Drosophila melanogaster: one gene and its partners. The protein of the gene in region 1 interacts with the protein of each later gene in a pairwise test. Each region holds a gene or a part of one and is shown on either strand. Other genes may lie near its edges.

Region 1 (7,873 bases):
GCCCAGTGGTCAGGCGCCGGGTCACCGAAGGGCGCACTCATATGGCGCGCCCAATGCCTACCTCACAAATCCGGTTACGGCCAGCACCCCGCCCGCAGGTGTGCTCTTTCGATCGCCGAGCACCACTTCTCGGGAATCCTATGCCGCGCCCACCTTCACCCGACAGCCCACCATTCTGGTGCGGGCTGAATCACAGCGCCGAAAGAACGAAATCCGGGACTTTATATTGTAAGCGGATTCAAGAAAATCCAAAATTTGAAGAAGCATCTCAATTTCACATCTCTTTCAACAGCACCTTGGACTATCAGGCCTCCAGTCCGGATGAGAAGGCATTGGTGGAGGCGTGCGCCAATTTGGGCATGGTCTACACCGGAGACGATGACGAAACGCTGCGCGTGCGCATCGTCCCGCCCCACATGGACTACAAGCGACCGTTCGCCAAGCCCAGGGAAGAGACCTTCCAGCGCCTCCATGTCCTGGAGTTTACGTCGGATCGCAAGCGCATGAGCGTGATTGTCCGGGATACGGATGGCAAGAAGTGGATCTACACAAAGGGTGCCGAGAGCTATGTCTTTCCACTGTGCGCCAACAGTTCAGCCGAGCTGGTCACAAAGACGGACGCTCATATAAGTGATTTCGCACGACTAGGATTACGTACATTGGCTATTGCCAGGAGGCTAATTAGCGAGGAGGAGTACCAGGACTTCCTTGTGGAGCTGGCACAGGCGAACAGCTCACTTGAGAATCGAAAGCAGCTCAGCGAGGAGTGTTATGCTAAAATTGAAAGCAGTGAGTACTAGTGACATTCCACATAAGTCCATGGTGCCCCACGTTGGGCGCCAACAACTTATGCATTTCTGTTCTTTGCACAGATCTTGATTTGCTCGGTGCAACAGCTGTGGAGGATGCCCTGCAGGACGACGTGGCCGATACGTTGGTATCTCTGCAGGCGGCTGGCATTAAAATCTGGGTGCTAACGGGCGATAAGGTGGAGACAGCCCTGAATATAGCCCTGTCCTGCGGACACATTCCACCCGATGCCAAGAAGTACTTCATTATGGAGTGCAAGAATAGAGAGGAGATGCTCCTGCATCTGAACGCACTTGATCGTGAGATCATCTTCGGTATTGGCCAGGAGTGCGCTCTTCTCATTGACGGCAAGAGCTTGGGCGTGGCCCTGGCAGAGGCCAGCTCGGAGTTCCGGGATGTGGCTGTCAAGTGTACGGCCGTTCTGTGCTGCCGCCTTAGTCCGCTGCAGAAAAGCGAAGTGGTGTCATTGATCAAGTCATCCAATGAGAACTACAACACGGCCTCCATTGGCGATGGCGCCAATGATGTGTCGATGATCCAGGAGGCTCACGTGGGCATCGGCATCATGGGACGCGAGGGCAGGCAGGCGGCACGATGCGCCGATTTTGCCTTCGCCAAGTTTTGCATGCTCAAGAGATTGCTTCTCGTCCATGGACACTATCACAGTGTCCGACTGTCCCTGCTGGTGCTGTACTTCTTCTACAAGAACATCGTCTTTATGGGCATCATGTTCCTGTTCCAGTTTCACACGCTGTTCTCCTCATCCTCCGTCTACGATTCGCTATTCCTTACCTTGTACAATGTGATATACACCTCGCTGCCCATTTTGTTCATAGCTATCTCCGAGAAGCCATACACCGAGGAGAAGTTGATGAGGTAACAGTGGGTTCAATCGTTTATATGTATAATGTTGATGTTACTAAAAATGCAACTTGAACAGAACGCCACAGCTTTACAAGAAGAACACGGACAACAAGCAGCTCCACTGGCCGTACTTCCTGATGTGGGTCCTATTTGCGATCTACCACAGTGTCATCATATTCTACTTCGCCTTCTGCTTCTTCTACTACAACAACGTTCTCCTGAACTACGGACAGACGGTGGCCTTCTCCTGCTTCGGCACCCTCCTCATGTGGACGGTGGTGGTGGTCGTGAACCTTAAGCTCTGGCTCGAGTCAATGTATCTGTCCTTTTGGTATATATTCACCATTATCATTTCCATTTTGGGCTTTGTAGTCACAACGGTTATCTACAACGTTATCAATCTGTGAGTTCATGGCTACGAATGTATCCATTTAAGGTTTAAACTAATATGTATATGTATTATTTGCAGGGACTACGACACCGACATCTACTGGGCCTACAACAATCTGTTGGCCTCACTGCCAGTCTGGCTGTGGATCATAGTGACCTGTGTGGCCTGCCTGGTACCCGACTATACCATCCGAATGCTCCAGAGGGCGCTCAACATAAAGAGTTTCAGCATTTTTCCCGGAAAACAACGGAAACTTAAGATGCGCGAGAAGTTTGAGTCCACATACTTGTAATCGTCGATTAGGCTATAGTTTTTATACCCCTAATTTATTTATTTCCTCATGTATACAATTTTTTTTTTTTTTGTTAGATAAACAAATTTTTGTTAAACGTTTGAACAATAGATTTGATTTCTGACCACCACCTTAGAGGTAGGAAAGTATCTCAACTTCCCAAATGGAGAACCTTGAAATCGTATGCTAACACTCGCAATCAACTGGGAAGTACGACATTTTAGGCTGATAACATTTTTATCATAATCTCGGCGACTTATTGAGAGCAAGTGCAACTACACTTGGAAAAATGGTTCGTTTACGAAAATGCTGGGTTTCAATACAGCTACACGATACAAACATCTAATTAATAAAGGATTTATTTAATATTTTTCCTACATCGGATATTGTTTAAAAATATATACGAAAGTATATAGCCCGTTTTTATCACAGTTTAGCCGTTGCCCCACTTTTGATACCATAAAGTAGGGCGGCGAGTCAGTAAATGTACTTCAATCCCGATCCACATATGTGTACGTAGGGCACCTGTTGGTTCGGCCATACCCACTGCCACGCCCACGATCACTGCCGCCCACCACATTGTTATCTAGTTGATGGCGTCGTTACCATTTGCATTGCCGAGGCAATGGACAAAGTTTTGATTGTGAAGCCCGTTTTTCATTGATAATGTTATCTCCACTCGCATTCCGAATATGTTTGTACAAGGGGAGCTAGAGATATGAACATTTTGCAGGTACATATGTGGCCATATAGTCGCTGGAAGATCTGGTGACGGTTACGATTTTAGTGGATTCTCGGTGGCTGTGTTTTCCTGGTCGTAGTTCGCCAAGTTAGTGGTCAATACGATTCGTTGGTTGCTCTCGCATTTCGAAATAGTGGTAATCGCACCAAATGGCAGTGCTATCAGTTCGAGGTTGTCGTATAGATTCCCATGGACGCCCTAATGCTAACACATGTGCAAAGCTATATCTAAACCATGTCTGTGTGCGCCGCGTATGACTATGCCCAAGGAAATTCTTAATCATTTTTGGCTGAGTTTAGTGTGCATAGGGCGGTGCTCGCAGCGCCAGAGAATTTGCTGATCCAAAGTTTCAATCGAATTTGCTTTCCTTTAATCAATATAATGTCACTGACCAAGTCGTCGTCGAGAAAGGATCTAACCGAGCAGAATCAGTATCAGAATCAGAATGAGAATCAGAATCAGCCCAAATCGACGACCATAGTCAAGTATGAGAAGTCGTCGTGCCTCTTCTGCAACGAATGGTTCGATGCCCAGACATTCACGGTTATAATCGTCCAACTTTTCAGTTCACCTTTGATTACTATTACATTACTCCTCTTTGGATGCGACTGCAGGAACACCTGATCCACTGCGGCCAGGTGCTGGAGGAGTGTCCCAACGGCTGTCAGGCCTTCATTCCACGCATCCGTATGCGATCCCATCTGAAGGAGTGTCCACGCAACCAGCACAATCTGAGCAATCAGCAACGCATGAGTGTCAGCATGGATCGCCTGGATAGGCAGTCGGATCAGCGTCTCCTGGTCATTGAACAGGACGTGGGCACCATTCGGTCCGTTCTCAACGAGGAGATACGACAGCGTTTGCATCTCATTACCGATGTGGGCAACATACGGAAGCAGAACCAGGTCGTCGAGGACTGGACCCGCGAAACCGAGAAGGCAATGGACGATCTGCGTCGCCAGATGGAGGAGGAAACCAATCGGAAGGCATTCGCCATCGAACAGAACCAGCTGGATGTCCAGTACTGCTGTGATATCACACAGGTTAGTTAATGCTACTTTATTTAAATATATATATACTATCTATCTTTAATGTGCATATCTCCGTCGAAGTCCTTGAAAGAGCAAGTGGAGTCCAGGCTGGATGAGGCCCAAAAGCTGGTCAATCAGCTCTCGGCGGACGTGACCTATCACCAGAATCAGCTAAACGACAATATCCTAAAGCTGGAGGAGCTGATCTTTGAGAACGAGCGGCTCAACAGGGAGAAGTTCTTTCAGATCGAGGAGTTTCTGCAGCAGATCAATGAGGACATCAAAACAAAGCTGGGCAACAGTGACTATGTGACGTCAAAGCAGGCCACATTGGACTATGAGGTGAAGAATGTGAAGAACATTGTGTGCGAAACGGAGGAACGTTGCGATAAATTGGATCGAGCACTTCACCAGACCATGCAGAATATATCGGATTTGGAGACCCAAATGGCCATGCAGCAGCGGATTGCCAGTGTCCAGAATATAAGGGGTACATATTGTTGGTTCAATATAGTAATTTAAATATATAATATCTGGTCGTACAGGACACTTGATTTGGCGCATCAAGGATTACTCGAAAAAACTGGAAGAGTCCAAGCAGTACGACACCATCCTCCATAGCGCCATGTTCTCCAATAAAGCCTTTGGCTATGCTCTACGGGTGAGTTGAGGTTGGATCTTGGTTGGATATGCCATTTATATATGTATACCCCATTACTAGCTGGATATATACTTGAATGGCAAGGGCACCTGGAAGGGCAGGAACATGATCGCCTGCTTGAACGTTCTATCCGGAGAGTACGATCCCCTTCTGGCCTGGCCATGCCGCCTTCAGGCCGAGATCATCATCCGGGATCAGTGCACGAATGTGGCAGATGCCGAGGATTATGTGAAGACCATCTTTGTGCGCAAGAAGAGCGATGATTTTATCCAAAGCAACCAGTACTTCCATATACCACACAAGGTAATCACCAGTCGCAACTATCTTCGCAACGATTCCATGTTCATCGAGGTTCGAGTTCTAAAATAAAACCCATGCAGCATCGCTATCCCACCCACCAGGAGCGATAAGAAAAAAAAAATCCAATTGCGGATTGTCACATACATAAAACATAATTTATTCCATTGAGAGCGAACTGGAAGTTAAAAACCCGCTTACAAACACGAGTATGTGTACATATATAGTGTATAAGTGCATACGAATCGATTCATCGTTTCAATATGCGTATATTGTAGTTTTAAATGTCATTGCAGTTTTAAATGCTTTTTTTCAAATTAGGCAATAGTCACATTGAGGCACTGTCGAGACGAAGTCGGTAGTTAGAAAGCATAGCTTTTATTGCAACATTTCCCTGGTCACTTTGTCAAGATATAAGCAACTCTTTCATTTTTTGGTTTTTCATTTCGAGCAAATTAACAAGCGATTTTTGAGAGGAACTTCCATATTATTTGTCTTTACGAACGCATTTAAATACAAAGGTCTTTTAATAAAATACAACTTCAACACTTGTCAACTGTCGGTTCCCATGTTCATTTCTTTGAAAGAGGTATCAAATGTCTGATCCCGTTCAGGTATTATTTGTGTGCACTTATAGTCTACGTTGTGGATCATAATTGTCTGGCTTCGTTGGCGTGTTCTTGTATGTTGTATGCATTTAAATGAACGAATACATAGAAGAGATAATACATATTCGAATAATTGATTTCACGTCGGATTTGGTTTGAATAATACATATATATGTATATGCGGAGATTCTTAAGAGGAGCGCTGTTCACCCACCAGGGCATAAAGGGCGTGCTTGTAGTGGCCCGAAGTATCGCCCTGCAAGTAGGATTTTATATGATTATAGAATATAGATATAGATAGATATATATATCTTACCTTGATCCAGCTCTTGAGGGACTTGCCGTACAGACGTTCGAACGCTACCTTAATGTCCGTCATATCAATCTGAAAAACGTTGCAACATTTTAGGGTTGAATGATATTATATATAGATGTACTTACCTCGCTGCGCGTGATGATCACACGGATCAACTGGGTGTCATTGGTGCCAATTCCGGCCATCGCCTTGTGCAGGCGCGAAGCGAAGTATTCGGCCTTGTTGGTGACGCACCTGTAGATGGCAATCAGGCCCTCCATCACATCGCCGGAGAACTCCTTCTTGATCGCCTTCTCCAGCGAGTGGCCAGTCATGCCCTCGTACTCTTGGAATATCTGCGGTTAGGTATGATTATGTTGGAGTTTCAATTGTACACACAAGTACTCAAGTATCAAGCAGCATACCAGTTTCAATTGCTGATAGTTCCTCTGGCAGAGGATCATGTTGAACATGCTCTCATCGGTGCCGACGCGCAGTTCGCCGGCTTTCAGTAGCTCCCTAGCATCGTTCTTGGCCGCCACGGGATCCACGCGACCACTCTCATCCCGCGCCGCCGTGCACAAGGAGGTAAGCAGCCGCTTAAAGTTGCCCGACGTCTCCGACTTTAGTTCAGACTCCAAATGGGCGCCGTACACTAATATACACGATTGGCAGAAACAAAATCCATATTAGAACAAAGAGAAAAGGCTAAGCCAAATAGATTACGACCTACATCGTAAGTACTGGTTTTTGATCGTATTGATCTCCATGTTGGACAGCGTGCAGAGGATCTCGATGAGGACCTCCTCGTCGGTGCCCAGGCCAGCCATGGCATCGTTTAGCTCGGCGCAGTAGTAGTCCACGATGGGACGCAGCAGGCCGACGAGGAGTTTCTCAAAGTTGCCGCTCGTCTCCGACTTGATGTCCTCGATGAGGTCCTTGCCGAAGTGCGTCTTGAACTGGCGCTGGATCTCCTGGCGCTGCTCGTTGGATCGCCGACAGATGATGTTAATCAGAGCGTCCTCATCTGTTCCAAAGCCCTTCATGGCCTTGCGCAAGTCGTGAGCATCCTTGACGGCATCGAAGTTTGCGGCAGGCACCACCGTGGGAGTTCCCTGAAAAGAACAGTCAAAACAGTCACTGAAAACGAGCTCAGATCTGATGGGCATGATGAACATGTATTGTTTTAGACCCGCCCTGGAACAAATTCGACTGAGGATGGGGAAGTGCGGTTAGTGTGGACGTGAGTCCCCAAATTTGATGACCAACCTCTCTGTGAGCTGGGAGTGACCGATGCGCGTGCCCCTGACCATTCCCATGCCCCTGTCCATGCCCATAGCCCTGCCCATATCCATGCCCATATTCATGTCCTTGCCCATGTCCGTGCCCATGTCCTTGCCCATGTCCATGTCCTTGTCCATGTCCTTGTCCGTTTCCGTAGCCATAGCCCGCATCATATCCGGCTGTCATGGCCGGTGTGTATCCACGATCCGCGGGATAGGGACTGTTCGACACCGATGGCTGCTGATAATGATTGTGCGCTGGAGGAGCGTATTGTGCCGGGTAAGGATTCGAGGTGGGATATGGTGGATAGGATGGGGCGGCGGACGGGTACGGTGCCGACATTGGTGGATAAGGAGCTGGAGCTCCGCCTGGATATTGCTGATGCTGCTGAGGATGCATTTGGGACGATGGCTGTGAGTGTGGGTGTGGCTGGGAGGGTGGTGGGTATGGCGAGTTTTGCTGCATCGGTGGCACCCAACCAGCTCCAAAGGGCGCCCGTGGCGGCTCGTGGTGGTTAGTGGAGGTAGGGGGGTGCGATGGCATTCCAGAACCCTATAAAAGTCAGAAAATGTACAATTCAAGTTGACTCCATGGCGCT
Region 2 (7,738 bases), on another chromosome or scaffold:
TAAATACAATCCAATCGCAGGTTAGAAATGAGCGAATCTTGGCTAAAACGAACACAGAAACAAACTCAATCCGACCACGACTTCGATGTGACGGGGCCAGATAGACAGTCGGCATTAGTGGGCACACTCGAAAAAAAAACGGAGGTACTCGTAAAATCACATAAAACTAAGTCAATGAAGGGATGATTTCAGTTCACCTCGTTTTCTTTAGACTCTTAACAGTTTTTAAGAAATTAAAAAAATATTTGTGCTTCTATTTTCTTTACCTATTAATTTCAGTGACTTAAACTAAATCCTTCGAGTGTATCTGCCGGTTGGTAAAAAAAAAGTCATAAAGTCGAGCGAGCCCAGTGCCATTCTTATGCCCATTCCCCAATCCCAATCCTATTTCCAATCCACAGCCATTCCCATTCCCACTCCCGTTGCCATTTCCCAATTGCCAATTATGCCGCAGCAGCAGCCCATTCCATCTTATAGCCATCCCATACCATTCCATCCTATAGTTGCCCCATCCGCCAGACAAGACAAACGCTGCAAGTTGCAAGTTGCAACTATCGAGGATCGTTCGCCGTCGATCGCTGTCTGCATTCAACACTGACGCCAACCGGTGTACAAAAAAGTAGAAAAAAAAAAGCCAAGAAGTGGATATTGAGGGGGGTGATGAAAAGTATCTGAGGGATACACCAGTCAGTATGCGCAGCTACAAGATGGCTGCTGCCAATCCTCGCCCGCACCAATGCCAAACTGCCTAGCATCCTGATCAGAGACGTTCTCTGGTCGTGCCCAAATGGCATTCGATGGGAAAAAGAGTGCCTCCGGATGAAGATACAGATACAGATACTTACTCGCACTTCATATGGCACATAATTCCATTTGCAACGCTTATCAGGCGCCACTTTGCCACGCAATCGGTGACAATTGCATAATCCGGCTGCAAATGCCGAACATTGCTCTAATCGCATTGAGTAGTCACTTCTCGCCTGTGTTCGCCAATTGGAATGTCTTTAGTTGGGAGTTTTGAGTTGGGAGTTGCTGGTAGTAGGAAAAGCTTTTAGTTAATTAATGTCCTCCAAGGAGCACTCGCAACTTCATCGCATTGAAATGTCGGGTTTTCAAGCATGGACTAATTATAGTTTATGTGAAATCATTACTACTATCTTAGTTTTGAATATGGATACAAAACATAGATATATACAAATAAAAAGTAATACGAGTAATATGAAACATTGTAGATAATATGATAATATGATTTAACTAAATAATATGCGTTATTAACATAAATTCATATGAACTCGATTCGCATTGTATAAAAATCCATCGAAATTTGAATGATAGTAAAGAAATACATAATCTTTTAATAAATTCCGAACTGAATTCCCTTTTACCTCAATCTTTATTTATTTGCATAAATATTTTTTAGTAGCATTTATTGTGTTTTAGCAAATTAGCAAGCAAATACCTTAAACAAACATGAGTTATATACTCTCGCTCGTGGCGAAACTCGACTTAATATGGAACCCCAAATAAAATGATAAATAAGGGTAATTTATTTGGGCACATTTATGAGGCGAGCAGGCTGCCAAAGATACATTTAGCCATTTAACCAACGGATAACGAATCCAAAGAGTGCGGGCATACAAATTAGTGCGCATCTGCGCCATCGAGGCATTCTGGAATTGAATCCTGTGACGGTGGTGGGAGGGGGCGGGTTTCGGAAAGGGAAGGAAAGGATATCCAGAGTACAACACGTCTTGACATTTGCATCTTGAAATGCAAGTGAAAGATACAATCCCAATCTGTGTATCCAGATGCGCCATTGTCACTGTCATCGGCTGTGGCTTCCTTTCGGCTAGAACTCTGCTCTGCGGATGATAAATGACGTCGATTCAACAAATTGGCCCACACATACATGGCCCAAAACCCGAACCCAGCCTCCCAGCCAAACCATTTTGGCCAATTGAGATGGAAATCAACTCGTTTTGTGCCCCACATACACGTACTGCATAGTTAACTCCCCGATTTCGATGGGGGATTGGGGCTACCTACTCCGCTCGATCCGCCCCTGAATTTACATTTGGCTGTGTCTCAGGAATTAATTCGGAACTGTTTTAATAATTCTTTGCATGCGGAAGATACTTCGAGCCAGATGGATTCAACTGAAGTTAAATTTTATGCAAATTAACTACCACTGTCTGATTTACAAGTTCGCATGCCGAAGGGAATTCAACATTGATTACGAGCCTTTCGTTTACCTTTTCGTACTTGGTTTAAAAACATTTATCATAATATTTGGCACACCAAAGCAAACTCATTGGTTTAAATTATATTACTCATTTCGAAAAAGTGTTTTTTAACTCACCTACGGCTACGGCTTGAAAATGTTTTAGAAGAAATAAAAAAGTATTTCGCGGGCATAAATTGTCCCAATTTCTTTTTTTAACTTTTTTATTTTTATCATTTTTATTTTATCATATATATTTATATGAATCACTTCATATATGGTGAGATTAAATGAGATTTGCATGCTGAACGGTATCGAAAGTAATTGTTATTTACCTAAATCAAGTAAAAGTGTTTAATCAATAGTTTTTATTATGTAATTTGAAGTGCGAAAAGTATATATTTGTTTCCTTGCTTTAATGTATTGTTTTTAAAATTATTAAAACTCGAAAAATCATTCCATGTTATGAGTTACACGCCAACCAGCCTTCTGTCAGCTAGCGAAATCAGCGAGCTTTTTTCCGCGAAGCATGAGGGCTGCAACATTCGCAGTGTGCACAGTGCCCTGGTCAAATGTTTTTGTTTGTTGTGTTTATTTTTTACTTATTTCGCGTTTAAAAGTGTTTTAAAGTGAGATTTAAAGTGCAATGGAGCTACCGAAGGAGTTATCCGTTGCGGAGATCCGTAATTACATGTTGGCAAACGAGTGCAAGGTGACAAATCACGCCTTGGTGAAGCACTTCAAGAAATTCCTAACTCACCCGCAGTCGCAAAGTGAGTCATTTGTGTTTGTCTTTCGAATTTGGGATTTGGGACCTGTTGAATGGCCAAGAAAACCCATATTGACTTGGTTTTCACATGGATGTTCCCAATGATTAATTGCAGATGAGGCTCGCAAGCGATTCAAGACCTATGTCACACTGCTGTCCACCATCAAGAACGAGAACAATCAGAAGTTTTTGATATTGCGCAAGAAATACGTAAACGAATGCCCCACGGATGAGGTTGTGGAGCGCGCGGTGGCCGCCGCATCTGGTATTCCGGAGCCCTCAAGTCCCGGCGGCGCATCTCTTAACTTTGACTCGCCCATGAGGCAGCCACCGCCATATAAACCGCCGCCCATGGTCACCTCTCCGCCAGCCGTTTCCATTGCCAAGGAGCACCAGGAGAATTACCAGGAGTGCGTGGACGAATTCACGGCTGCCATAAAGCGCATTGAGCCAGCACGCTTGGAGAGGCGAACGTCGGTCAAGTCCGAGGATCTGGATCAGCAGGAGAAGCCGGAGAAAACGTCTCGATCGAATTCCATCGATGTGATCGACAACAAGGAGAACATACCACGTTTCTCCTTCTCCTCGGAGGCCTCCTCGGCGTCCAGCACTTCCATTGAAAAGCCGGAGATGGCTGATCCCACAGCTCCCGCCGCCGTAGGCGATGTGGCCGAGAATCCCATCAGCGTGAAGGAGGCCACGCGCAAATTTAATCGGATGGCGTCTGAAGAAGAGGCTAAAATCATATCGCCGCCAGCTAAGAAGAAGCCAGAGAAGGTGAGTGCCACAGAACCGGTTAAGCCAGGGCATTAGCCATCATGCGGGCTCGGCTCGGGTGCGGGTGTCTTTCGGGCCCTTCCCTCCCAGCTTTGTTCCAATGCGTTCCATTTCCTGTGCGTCAGTGGGAAGATTCGCTACAAGACAATTCAAATATGCGACGTTTTTTGCACGGCTTAGTTGTGATTAATTATCACAGAGCTATGAAGGTTTTTATATGAGCTGTCCACTGTGGCAAAAATATCTGAAGACGTTGTTCCACTTAACCAGCTGCTTTTTTCAATCCATCATAGACTACACACTGTAATCAACTTTGTTGAATCATATTTGTTAATGTTCTATAATCTCACTCACGCCTTTGTTTAAACTAAAGAGGAACGATTTCTATTATTTACATCGAATTCTTCGTTTAGTGATAAGGATGACCTTCATAATTTCATATATATCTGGCAACTTAAAGTAGTTCTTAGCGTATATACACTGTATAATGGGATTAAAAAAAAAATATTTGCTTTCCCATCACTGTATATGACAAAGAAACAGGCTGATATTCCGCTACAAATCAGGGTCAGATTAGATCTGCTGGCCCTGGAAACCCCGAGCAATTATTGTCAATGCATCAGTGGCTGTCCCAGGCTTTGGGCCACCTCAAGTGGAACTGCTGGCGGAATGCTAGATGGCCAGAATGTCAGAGTGGCAGAGTGGCTGGCTCAAACTAAGCCGGTCGGTTGGTCGGTCACCCAACTGTCTGTCAGTTCCCAGAGCCATGTCACGAATTGCCACCAGCACAGGCCGAATTGAATAAATCCATTAATTTTATTAGTGGACAATATAAATGTAAGTCTCATAAAACTACATACATGCGCCTGCATCGTTCCGTTCGCCTTCCTGTCCACTTTTTCTGTCCCGGCTTTGTCGCCGCCGCGCATTCAAGAGCTGGTGAGCTGGAGAACTGGCGAACTGGTGAGCTGGTGAGCTGGAGAACTGGCGAGCTGATGCCCGACATGTGTACGTACATGTGCGGACACATGTACTCCGATTCCGAATTCGATTCCCGCCCGAGTGCGATGTGTTTAGTAACTTTGTTCCATCAACTGGCCATGACGACACTTTGCAAGCTGTTCAGCAAACCCACCCCCCTCCCTTCACACCCCTCGCATTTTCATTTCTTTATTTTCTTGATGCCCCAAAAGCCTATTATGTGTACAAGCACATCGTAGGACATGCCAAGTATGAGTTACGTGAGAAATTTTGCGGCCAGCAAATGGTATGCAAACACTCAGAAAAATCTGGAATCAGATGAAATTTTTGATAGTACATCTAAGTAGTTAAATTGAAATTGAAACTTGAAAACTGAGGAATTTAGCTGTTTCTCATAAAAACCGAACCATTTCCACATCCTATGACTATAATTGATGTAAATTGGAAATGGAAACCTTTAGCACTTCAACAAAATCAACTCGAAATACACATACATACATATAATTTGTAGCGTGTCCATTTCGAGATTCTAATTTAGAAAAAATATCAATCTCGGGGTGAGCATGTGGCAGTGGAATTTGTCAAGCGTTACGGAAAAATCGTTCCTTAGTTAATGTTACAAGCTATAGTAGTGCAATTGGGCCGAGTTGTCAAACAACTGTCATCCACTTAGGCCCGTCAATCACGCAATTTAGAGTTGAAAACGAATATCCCCAGTGCATAAATCATCGGAGTCTGTCTGCGAGACGGATGGTCCCATCCGCATCCGTATCCCATTCCATTCCAATCTATTGTATCATGTTTAGAGCAAGATGCTCCGCAGCAGTGGATGTACATCAAAGTGGGATTGTCAACGGCACGTCAGATGCTATAAAATCCCACTAAAACATCGGGAAGCGAACTTAAGTGCCTATTTGTACAGACACTCGGACATGGTAGAATCAAACTAGTCCTTATATCGGAAATCTGTTTCAAAGCATCACTGCCGCAACTTTGAATTTCTCACGTATTTCATGTTTCCGGATTTACGCAGACAAATTAAAAATATCAATATAAAGTCGAAATTAAATGGAGGCTATGGGGAAATTCTCGCTAACAAGGCTTAAACATTAAAATAACCAGCGTTGTCTAAATTTCGTTGAATGAATTTACTATTACTTATCATCGAAATTATATTCATTCATTTGAATGAATGAATTCACTTGAATTTCGCTCATCTTTTCGCCAGTCATTACTAATTTGTCTGCAACATGAGTAGAGTTTAAAACGAAGGGCTATCATTCACTATCATATCGTACAGATCGGGTTGATAGCTCCCATTTGATGCACTGAGAATAAAGAAAGTATCTGTGGCGTTATAAGCGCTTACATCTTGTTAACAAATTGATTCGCTAACAAGACACACCGTCATTTTTGATGGCGCCAACCGTCTTCACGCAATTATTAAAATTCAGTTGTAAACAATATTGAGATAGGTTTTGATGGATGCCCCTTTTTTTTCCTGTTATTCATCAGAGAAAATAACTAATCATCGCTAGACGAAAAGAAAGTGGCTCATCATCTTCACAAGGAGTTTCGAAGGCGGCATTCTAGTTCATGGGATTCATGGGATCGAAAAAAAAACTGGGGAGCAAGTGAAGTGGATTCATCATGGTGTACCGTGAAATTTTTGGCGTTGCAACCGTAACTATGGAATCTGTATCCATCCCCAGCTAGCTGATCAATTAAATTCGTTTCGATCGTTTTTAATTAGCCCGATGATTTTGCATTTTGTACGCTCACTCAGCACCGTTGTGAGTTGATTAATTTACGCCCCAAAATAACAAGCTGATTTAAAATGGGATTTTTTTTTCGTTAAATAACTAATATTGATAGAAGTATCATAGCTTGGGATTTTTTTTTTTCTTTTTGATTGATGAAATTTTCGAAGGTTAACGGGAAACTACATAAATTTTTCGGTTCAAGAGCAAAGTTATCATGAATTCCAGCTAAACCTTCATATCTAAAAGTAAAAGTTAACAACACGATGTTAACTGAAGTAGCGATGTTGGAAATTCAAAGAATTGCCAAAATATATTTTTAACTTAAGATTGCCTCGGTTTGTCTGGCAAGAGTTGAAAAAAGCGAATATTACAATTTTTAACAAATCAAACAATCACCTAAGGGAAAGTATCTTTCATAAAATAGTAATTAAGATGCTAAAGCTTTCAACTATCAAACAAAAACTAATGAAAACTCAGTCCGTTGTTTTGTGAATCTAATTTAAAACCCCTGGCAGCGCAAATATGGCCCCAAAGCAAAGTTCCTGCCCAAAAGTCCGCATGCAGCATCAAACAGACCGCATATATATTCTTATTAAAAATAGGAGGCCACCTTCGTAGTCCCACAGTGCATATAAAACTGTCAGGCGACCCACATCGAAATGGGGGGCGTGGCTGGGTCGGTGGCGAAACGAACCCTTTTGCATAAAACAAGTTGGTGAAACATGTTAACATAGCCAATAAGCAGCAATAGAAATTAGTTAGGCAAAGCTATTCTCATCACGGTCATGCCAGCCACAAAGGACCCAATTAAAAATGTAAGGAAACAAACCAAAAGTTGTTATTGCTGTTAAACAACAACGGACTGTGTCCCGAAGCGGTTAAATTTACAACAGCAACAATATCCACCCGTTCACCGCCGAAGTTCCAGCCACTCCCACTAGTCCTACTCGTACTGGACAAAAAAGCGAACGGAGTTGAATCCCCGTGGCCTGTAGCCTGTATCCTGGAAATGGAAACACGACCATTTTGTGGCATCGGTCGAAAGGTAAGACTCGCCGGGCCAACGTAAACACTGAAGGGACATGGCCCAGACCACGAGTTCCATATCGTATCCACTCTCTCTTTTCCTCTGCATCCCAGTGTGCAGTTGTCGGTAGTCCTGGGCGCAGGGCCATGGCCACATCCTGGCAAAAGGACAACGGCCAGCTGTGTGATATAATATCGGGC
Region 3 (7,011 bases), on another chromosome or scaffold:
TTAAATCACTTCCTTGAAAAAAAGTGGAAGTGCAACTGATGCATCGTGTACAACAACTTTAAACGCTTCAATGGCCAATCGTCTTTTTACATGTAATACACAGTGCAAATCACAAGCATGCGGCCAAAATACAGACTTATGTTAATAAAAAATATGCGAGAAATACATTGTTACCATTCGTTTTCCAACCACAGTGATGGGACATATATAAAGAAACCTAAAATCTTTTCTTTCACTTCTTTAGTTATAAAATAAGGTTATAATTTATTTTTTATCAAATTCGGTGTTAGTATTAATACAACAATTTTTTTGAGTGTTCAATGGTGAGTTTTATTAAACCGTACAACGATATGTATCGAATGTAAATCAGCTGGAAGTATGACCGCCCTGCGAAGTGCGATAGTGTGACCGCAGCCACTAAATTCGAACTGTGCCTGTGTGCCTGCGTGTGGGCGTGTGTGTGTGTGTGGGAAGTTACAGAGAGAACAAAGTAAAATTTGAAAAGTTAAAGCTGCAGCTGCTGAGGGCATAGCCAAAATTGGACGAATCACTGCCATGGCCAAGGTTATATCGCAGGACACCTTCGACGATGTTGTGAAGGAGAACGTTGTGGAGTTCTCGATGACTCCTTCGGAGGCGAAAGAAGAGACCATCAAGCAATTCGAGGCACAGGTAAGTAATGTCGACATAGTCATCCAGTAGATTCACTTTAATGAAATGATTGCAGGGCATCAACCTGGCCAACATTATCAAGGACCTGTCCGTCAATCCGCAAACCGGCCAACCTGTCATCAACGAAACGGTGGACAAGATCAAGGAGCACATTGGCCAAAAACTGGAGGAAACAACGGAGCTGCTGGAACAGCTGGCCACCTTGGATGCTGAGTGCAAAAAGTCGCTAGCCCATAGGGTTCTAGCCGGCAAAAATGGAGCCCACGATGCCCTGATCACCCTGTTGGAGGAGACGCTCTCTGCTGAGTCACCCAACGAATCCGTGTTAAAAAAGTCCTTGGAAGCCATCAACAGCCTGACCCACAAGCAGCCGGATCTGTTTGATGCCGAGGCGATGGCCGTGGTTCTCAAGTTACTGGCCCTCAAAGTGGAGAGTGAAGAAGTCACCCTGTTGACTCTTCAATGGCTGCAGAAGGCCTGCATCATGCATGAAATGAACCGCCAGAATATCATGAATACCTCCGCACTCAAACTCATGAAGCCCCTTTTAGGGAAAGGGAAGGACCGCCTGGTGCGTGAACTGACCGCCGTCTTCCGCTTCCTAGTGCTGGATGATGACATTCGCGTTGAGTTTGGATGCGCCCACGAGCACGCCCGCCAAATAGCAGGCGAGGTGCTCATCACCTTGGTGGAACTTTTGCCGGCCTATCAGGATCCTAATGTTCTGGCTGATCTTCTGCTGACCATTGGAACACTGGCTGTGCGTCAGGAACTCTGTACAGCTATCGACGAGGCTGGTGGACTGAAGTCCGTCTTCGAGATCATGAGTTCGAATTTGGATGAGGTGCGTCTAAATAGAGAGGCCTTAAAGTTGCTACGTGCCCTGGCTGGCCAAGACTCCGTGAAGTCACATATAGTACAGCAGGGCGTGGCTCCTATAATAAAGCAATTGCTAGAGACGCACCAGTCCAATGAAAACATCGTTGCCGCCGCTTTGGCCTGCGTGACTACTCTGACACTCCGAGTGCAGGAACACAGTGCCGCCTTTTTCGATACCGGCATCGCCGAAGTAATCGTGGAGGCTCTTCGCGCCCATCCCAAACACAAGATAGTCCAGCGAAACGGAGCGTGGGCCATCCGCAATATGGTGTCACGGTCGCGGAACCAGTGTGAAACCTGGATCTCCTTCGGCGTTGAGGATCTACTAAATATGGCAATGAAGGAGCACCCCAGTGTGGAGCAGGACATCAAGGCGGCGTTGCGCGACCTCGGCTGTAGTGTCCACTTGCGCGAGGAATGGACGGGCACGGCGGAGAAAAAAATTGCCGCCTAATCGCACACACATATGCCTTTTGTATTTTTATATATTTACTGCTAAATTATTACTATTGCTTAATTCATGCATTGGCTAACTAACAAAATCGGCAATCCTCAATACCAATCGCGTGCTAATACCCAACTGGGGCAGTCTCTTATGATCACATGGCTGTGGACTTATTTGCCCAGGTTAAAGTTGCGCAGCGAGCCGGCTTTAAGACGCTGGTTGACATTCCGGGAAAGGGCGGTCGAGGATCTGATTGTGGAAAGACCCTCTTCCTCGGCGCGCTGCGCAAAGGGGTCAACCTTCTCAGAACCGCCCATTCCATTGTAGACAAAATTTGAGCCCGTCGTGGCCGTCAACGCAGAACTACTTGAACTTCCCAGCAGCAGTCTTGGCTTCTTGAAGATTGAATACTGGGGGAATATACGGAATTTTTAAATGGTTAAGTGGAATTCGGCAAAATTATTGCGTTTACCTTTTCACTGAGATCACTGCTGGTTTTCCGTATGGTTCCGCTGGTCATAGACACACCGCCACCGACTCCCTTGATGGGCGATATTTTAGACTTGGCCAGCCCAATGTTACCCTTAGTATTAAGAAGATGCGCCAACCCGACGCTGCTGGATTTAATGTTGAGATATGGGGAGGTGGATTCTTCGATGCGCTTAATATTCTCCTTCTGTAGGGCAGCAAAATATTAGTAGCTTATATTTTCGTTTATTCGTGTCTACTCACAACTGTAGGGGAAATAGTGGTACGCCTTTCCTCCCTTTTAAGGGCCAAAATGTTGCTGTTCAGACCACAAGAGGCATTTGGTGAGTCCAAGTAAGCGGTCTTGTTCTCAAAAGCTTGTAGCTGAAAAGATAATAGTATGTTTAATCGAAATTGTGTTAAAGAAGGCTCAGCAAACCTTCTCCTGCGCCTGGTAAAGGTCGCTCTCCAGGTGTGAAACACGCTCTTCCAGCTTGCTGCAATCGAATGAGCACATATCAATTATAAAAACCACGTTTGGAATGTTGTGAGCATACCGCTTTAGTTCGATCTCCTTTCGCAGATCATTCTGCACCACCTTCACTACATTCCTGAGCTCCGTCTTTTTGCTCTCGCATTGTCGCAACTCCCTCTTGAGAGTGGACACCCAGTTGGCTAGGACATGTGGATCAGCCTCGTTCTTGAGCAAGCGGTCGGCATCCGCCGAGCCAGCCGCCAGAATAGCCGATATGCCTTCCATACTCTGGATCTGTGATTTCAATGTTTTGTTTTCCTTGCGCAACCCATCAACGACATGGGCATCACTCTTGAGGACGCCAATTTGCTCGACATAGCTGCTGATGAGAAAATCCTTCTTTTGCACCTTCTGCTCCAAACCGGCTATGGTTTTGCTGCAAATGAGAAATGCATCAGTCTGGTACTTAAGGCAATGTGTATACAAAAGCATACAGGCACTTCTTTTGTGTTTCCTTCAGATCCCGAATCTGCTGTTCATCCTTGTTGCGCTCTTTTTCGACCATTTTCATGGACAACATCGCATTGTCCAGCTGCTCCTGCAGTGAACCAACATCGATGTGGCTCACATCCAAGTTGGCCAGATTGAAATAGACCCTAAATATGTTGCGGGTAGTGCACTTATTCCGGCACTGAGGACAGGTCTTTGATCTGCGAAAGATATTTGATTTTATTGTCGGGAATCAGAAATATCCTTATGCGTTGTTTACCGATCGAGCCATTGATTTAGACAGTTGTGGTGGAACATATGACCACAAACTGTGGCAAAAACCTCGTCGGCCTGGCCAAACAATTCGGCGCATATCACGCAGTTTAAGTTCAACATTTTTGGCACAAATAACTACATAAAAATAGTTATTACAAAAGAACAACAAATAAACGCACGCCGAACAGTTTGCGCGCCCAACGAAACACAGCTGACTGATGGCGATTTTACGATGCTCCAATGAGCGGAATTCACCACACCAGTATTTGTCAAGAATCGATTGTAGACAATAACTGTTAGCTGATAGATATTTCCACGACAAACTAATTGCTAACTAACTTGGCTTAAGTCGAAACAACAAATAATGTTTACAAATACGCTTACTCAGCCACTGAAACTAAAATTCATCCTAAATTTTAGAAAGATATGTATGTGTGGATACTTTTTAAACCCTACTTCTTAAGATATACTGTGGATATAAATTTCATATTTTATTCTGCCAATCCATCTTAAATCCAGCTACTTATGCTCCGTACTTTAGCCCCATGGTGGTCTTATCGATAACAGCGGGAGCACTGTGGCGCTATTTACGAAAGCACACCGTGTGCTTTCGATATCGCGACAATGCTATCTAGAGGTGGAGAAACATCGATGTTTTAAAGAACACAACACATCGATGTTTTTCCACCTCTTTTAAAAGTCGTCAAATAGCAATAATAAATAGGAATAGTTATAAATTTGTGCATTTAATTTCGTTCGTTATTTGCGTTTCAATCGACCGTGGGTCCCAGTGAGCTAACTGCACCTGCACCCAAAGCGGAAGCTGAGCGAAAAGGTGTTTCATTTGGCGTGCGCATTTCGACACCTTTGTCAACGCTGATTCTTATTTGGTGGACCGACGACTCACACACACGCGCGTACCAATATAACAGACACTGAAGTGTGTGTGGAAGGGACAGACAAACAACCGTGCGATAACAACAACAAACGGCAGTGATCGCGGCGAGAAATGGAAATGGCCAACAACATGGTCAGCAGCAGCAACAGTGGCGGCGGTGGCAGCAGCAACACCACCTCCTACGGCAACAACAGCTACAACAACAGTGCGGTGGACAGTGGTCACAGTTCGCACAGTGGTGTCGGTAGCGGGGGCGGTGGTGAGGGAACGGGAGCGCGCCTCCGGGATGTTTGTACCATCCTGAACACTGGCCCCGCCGCCTATCAAAATCAAACAGGTGGCTATGCCTACGACCACATCATCGCCCTGATGAGGAACCTTGATCTGCAGGACGATGGCATTGTGCTGAACTCCAAGATCAAGACCATCGAAACGGACTTCTGCAACATAGTGCGCGACGAGTCTATGCTTTGGTATGTGTGCCGATCTCTACCGTTTGGTTGGTTCGCTCATTGATGATTAATCATATCATAAGTAGTGTGTTTATTTGCCACCTCTTTTCGCATATACATATGGATGTATGTAAATACCCGGCGTAGGTACAGTGCGGTGCGATAGCATATGGGCAAGGCGAGCTCCCAAGCCCATCAAAGCCAGCCATGTGATAACAAGACTTAATGCATGCAGTACATATCTGCCTGGCGAAGACCGATCCTTATTGTAATATTTATGACATTCCATTACAAGTAGCATGAGTAATTCGTTAAATTTGGGAGCTTGTGGCGTTCGCCCATAGGTTACAGCATTCTATAAGTTATTCCAATAATGAAATGCTTGAAATGCAGAAACCGAATTACTAATCAAGTTCAAACGTTAATTTGTTTTTACGCGTTCAAGAACCCTTGGGTTCTTAAAGTGCAACTTTGTAAACTTTTCTTCTTACTTCATTATTTTTAGGTTCGAAAAAGTTTTTGCGACCTTCTACATATACATTTCAATTTTATTAAATGTCTAAAAATCGATTTATAAATCTGAAAAGCACTGTATTTGTGTATATGTGTTCGTGCACGAGTTCGTTGTTTGCGACCAGGTTGCTCGAACGTCAGCGTGTCTTGAAAATTTACAACTTTTCATACAAATAAAGACGGGCAGAGAGACATCGGCGCCATCGAATCATTTCAAAGTGAACATTTTTCCCTCCGATTCTCTCAGGCTCATGCTCGAGTTAATTGCTGAACAAATAGTTCGCAGCTTGGGCTTATCAAACAATGCTGCTATGCGTTATATCAGTGGGGGTGTTAAACACAGTTGTAGTGCAAACTTTAACATTATGAAGTAGTAGTAGACTTGATTATTATAACATACTAATAAATGAAAAGTAAATAAACTAATTGTATTTGCAATTTTCAGTGAGTCAATGGAGTACCTGAACGACAAGGCGCTTAGCGATGGTGATACGGCGCTAAAGTTCGCCCTGCTCTTCTCATCGAGAAATTTCGACGCACTGGCCATGAAAGAGACGAAGGTGCGCAGCGCCATGCTCAAGATTTTGGAGACAAACTTCCTCAACGCGGACGCATATCGGTTGCACGACAAGAACCGACTGTACAACTCGATCACGCTGCTGGGTGAATATTATCACAGGGTAAGGCTGGCGGATAATACCCCGATCACCATTTTGGGTGAGTCCCTGCTGGACTTGCTTACCCGCGAGCTCAATGACACGTCGGTGGTGCTGGGCACTCGGATTGCCCGCCTGGTGCTGTCACAGATCACACTGAATGGGGAGATCATGCGCAAGCGGCATAAGGTCGAGATTGATTTACTGCTCTTCCACGTTCGCCGGCATTTGATCATGCAGCCCGCGCTGACCGCTAAGGTGAAGGCCATGCTACTGATGGTGCTGGACCTCTTTTACAGCCACTTTAAGCATATCGGCCACGACCTGGAGACAATGTACACCAACTTCTTGGTGGTGGAAGATGGCGAAGAGGATGGGGTCAACAATAATGGCTCCGGCCCCCAGGATCTCGCCGAAGATGGCCGCTCACAGCAGCTTCAGCATCAACAGTCAGAGAACGGCAGCAGCGCCAACACGTCCGGCCAGGATCAGGATACCTTTGAACCGCGGCCGTCGGCAAAGAAGTGGAGCGAGCAGGTGTGCGAGGATTCCTTTTGTGAAACTGGCTACGGTGAGGCGGATCAGGGCGACGATAGATACTCCGAATCTGGACTCTCGTATCAAGCGAATAACTCTGCTTCACTCGGCCACCGTCGTCGCGGATTCCAACCTCGGCAAGTGCCGCGTCCTTTGAAGTCACATCAATCACAACAGCAGCAGCACCAACAACCAGCCAGCATAGAGTATGTACCAAATCTTTACTATATAAGTGTAATACTATTTATAGC

The links.
Region 2: the proteins of Traf-like (region 1) and sowah interact in a two-hybrid assay, tested with the Drosophila melanogaster proteins (2 studies listed by BioGRID).
Region 3: the proteins of Traf-like (region 1) and nopo interact in a two-hybrid assay, tested with the Drosophila melanogaster proteins (2 studies listed by BioGRID).

Annotation. Positions count from the first base shown.
Region 1 is NC_004354.4:16,411,944-16,419,816, forward strand, and holds Traf-like (TNF-receptor-associated factor-like), read left to right. Parts: upstream 1-3,102; 5' UTR 3,103-3,480; coding exon 3,481-3,642; coding exon of another isoform or gene 3,643-3,713; coding exon 3,714-4,142; intron 4,143-4,211; coding exon 4,212-4,620; intron 4,621-4,675; coding exon 4,676-4,791; intron 4,792-4,851; coding exon 4,852-5,160; 3' UTR 5,161-5,642; downstream 5,643-7,873. Other genes in the region: CG4301 (uncharacterized protein), read left to right, coding at 1-228, 293-789, 873-1,686, 1,751-2,077, 2,144-2,357; AnxB11 (annexin B11), read right to left, coding at 5,887-5,952, 6,013-6,081, 6,138-6,347, 6,417-6,646, 6,725-7,106, 7,261-7,827.
Region 2 is NT_037436.4:12,567,568-12,575,305, reverse strand, and holds the start of sowah (sosondowah), read left to right. Parts: upstream 1-2,763; 5' UTR 2,764-2,867; coding exon 2,868-2,994; intron 2,995-3,105; coding exon 3,106-3,767; intron 3,768-7,738.
Region 3 is NT_033778.4:18,177,535-18,184,545, reverse strand, and holds nopo (no poles), read right to left. Parts: upstream 3,930-7,011; 5' UTR 3,825-3,929; coding exon 3,709-3,824; intron 3,650-3,708; coding exon 3,434-3,649; intron 3,376-3,433; coding exon 3,022-3,375; intron 2,962-3,021; coding exon 2,904-2,961; intron 2,849-2,903; coding exon 2,729-2,848; intron 2,673-2,728; coding exon 2,469-2,672; intron 2,407-2,468; coding exon 2,167-2,406; 3' UTR 2,027-2,166; downstream 1-2,026. Other genes in the region: CG5721 (uncharacterized protein), read left to right, coding at 556-672, 728-2,005; CG5726 (uncharacterized protein), read left to right, coding at 4,714-5,075, 6,013-6,966.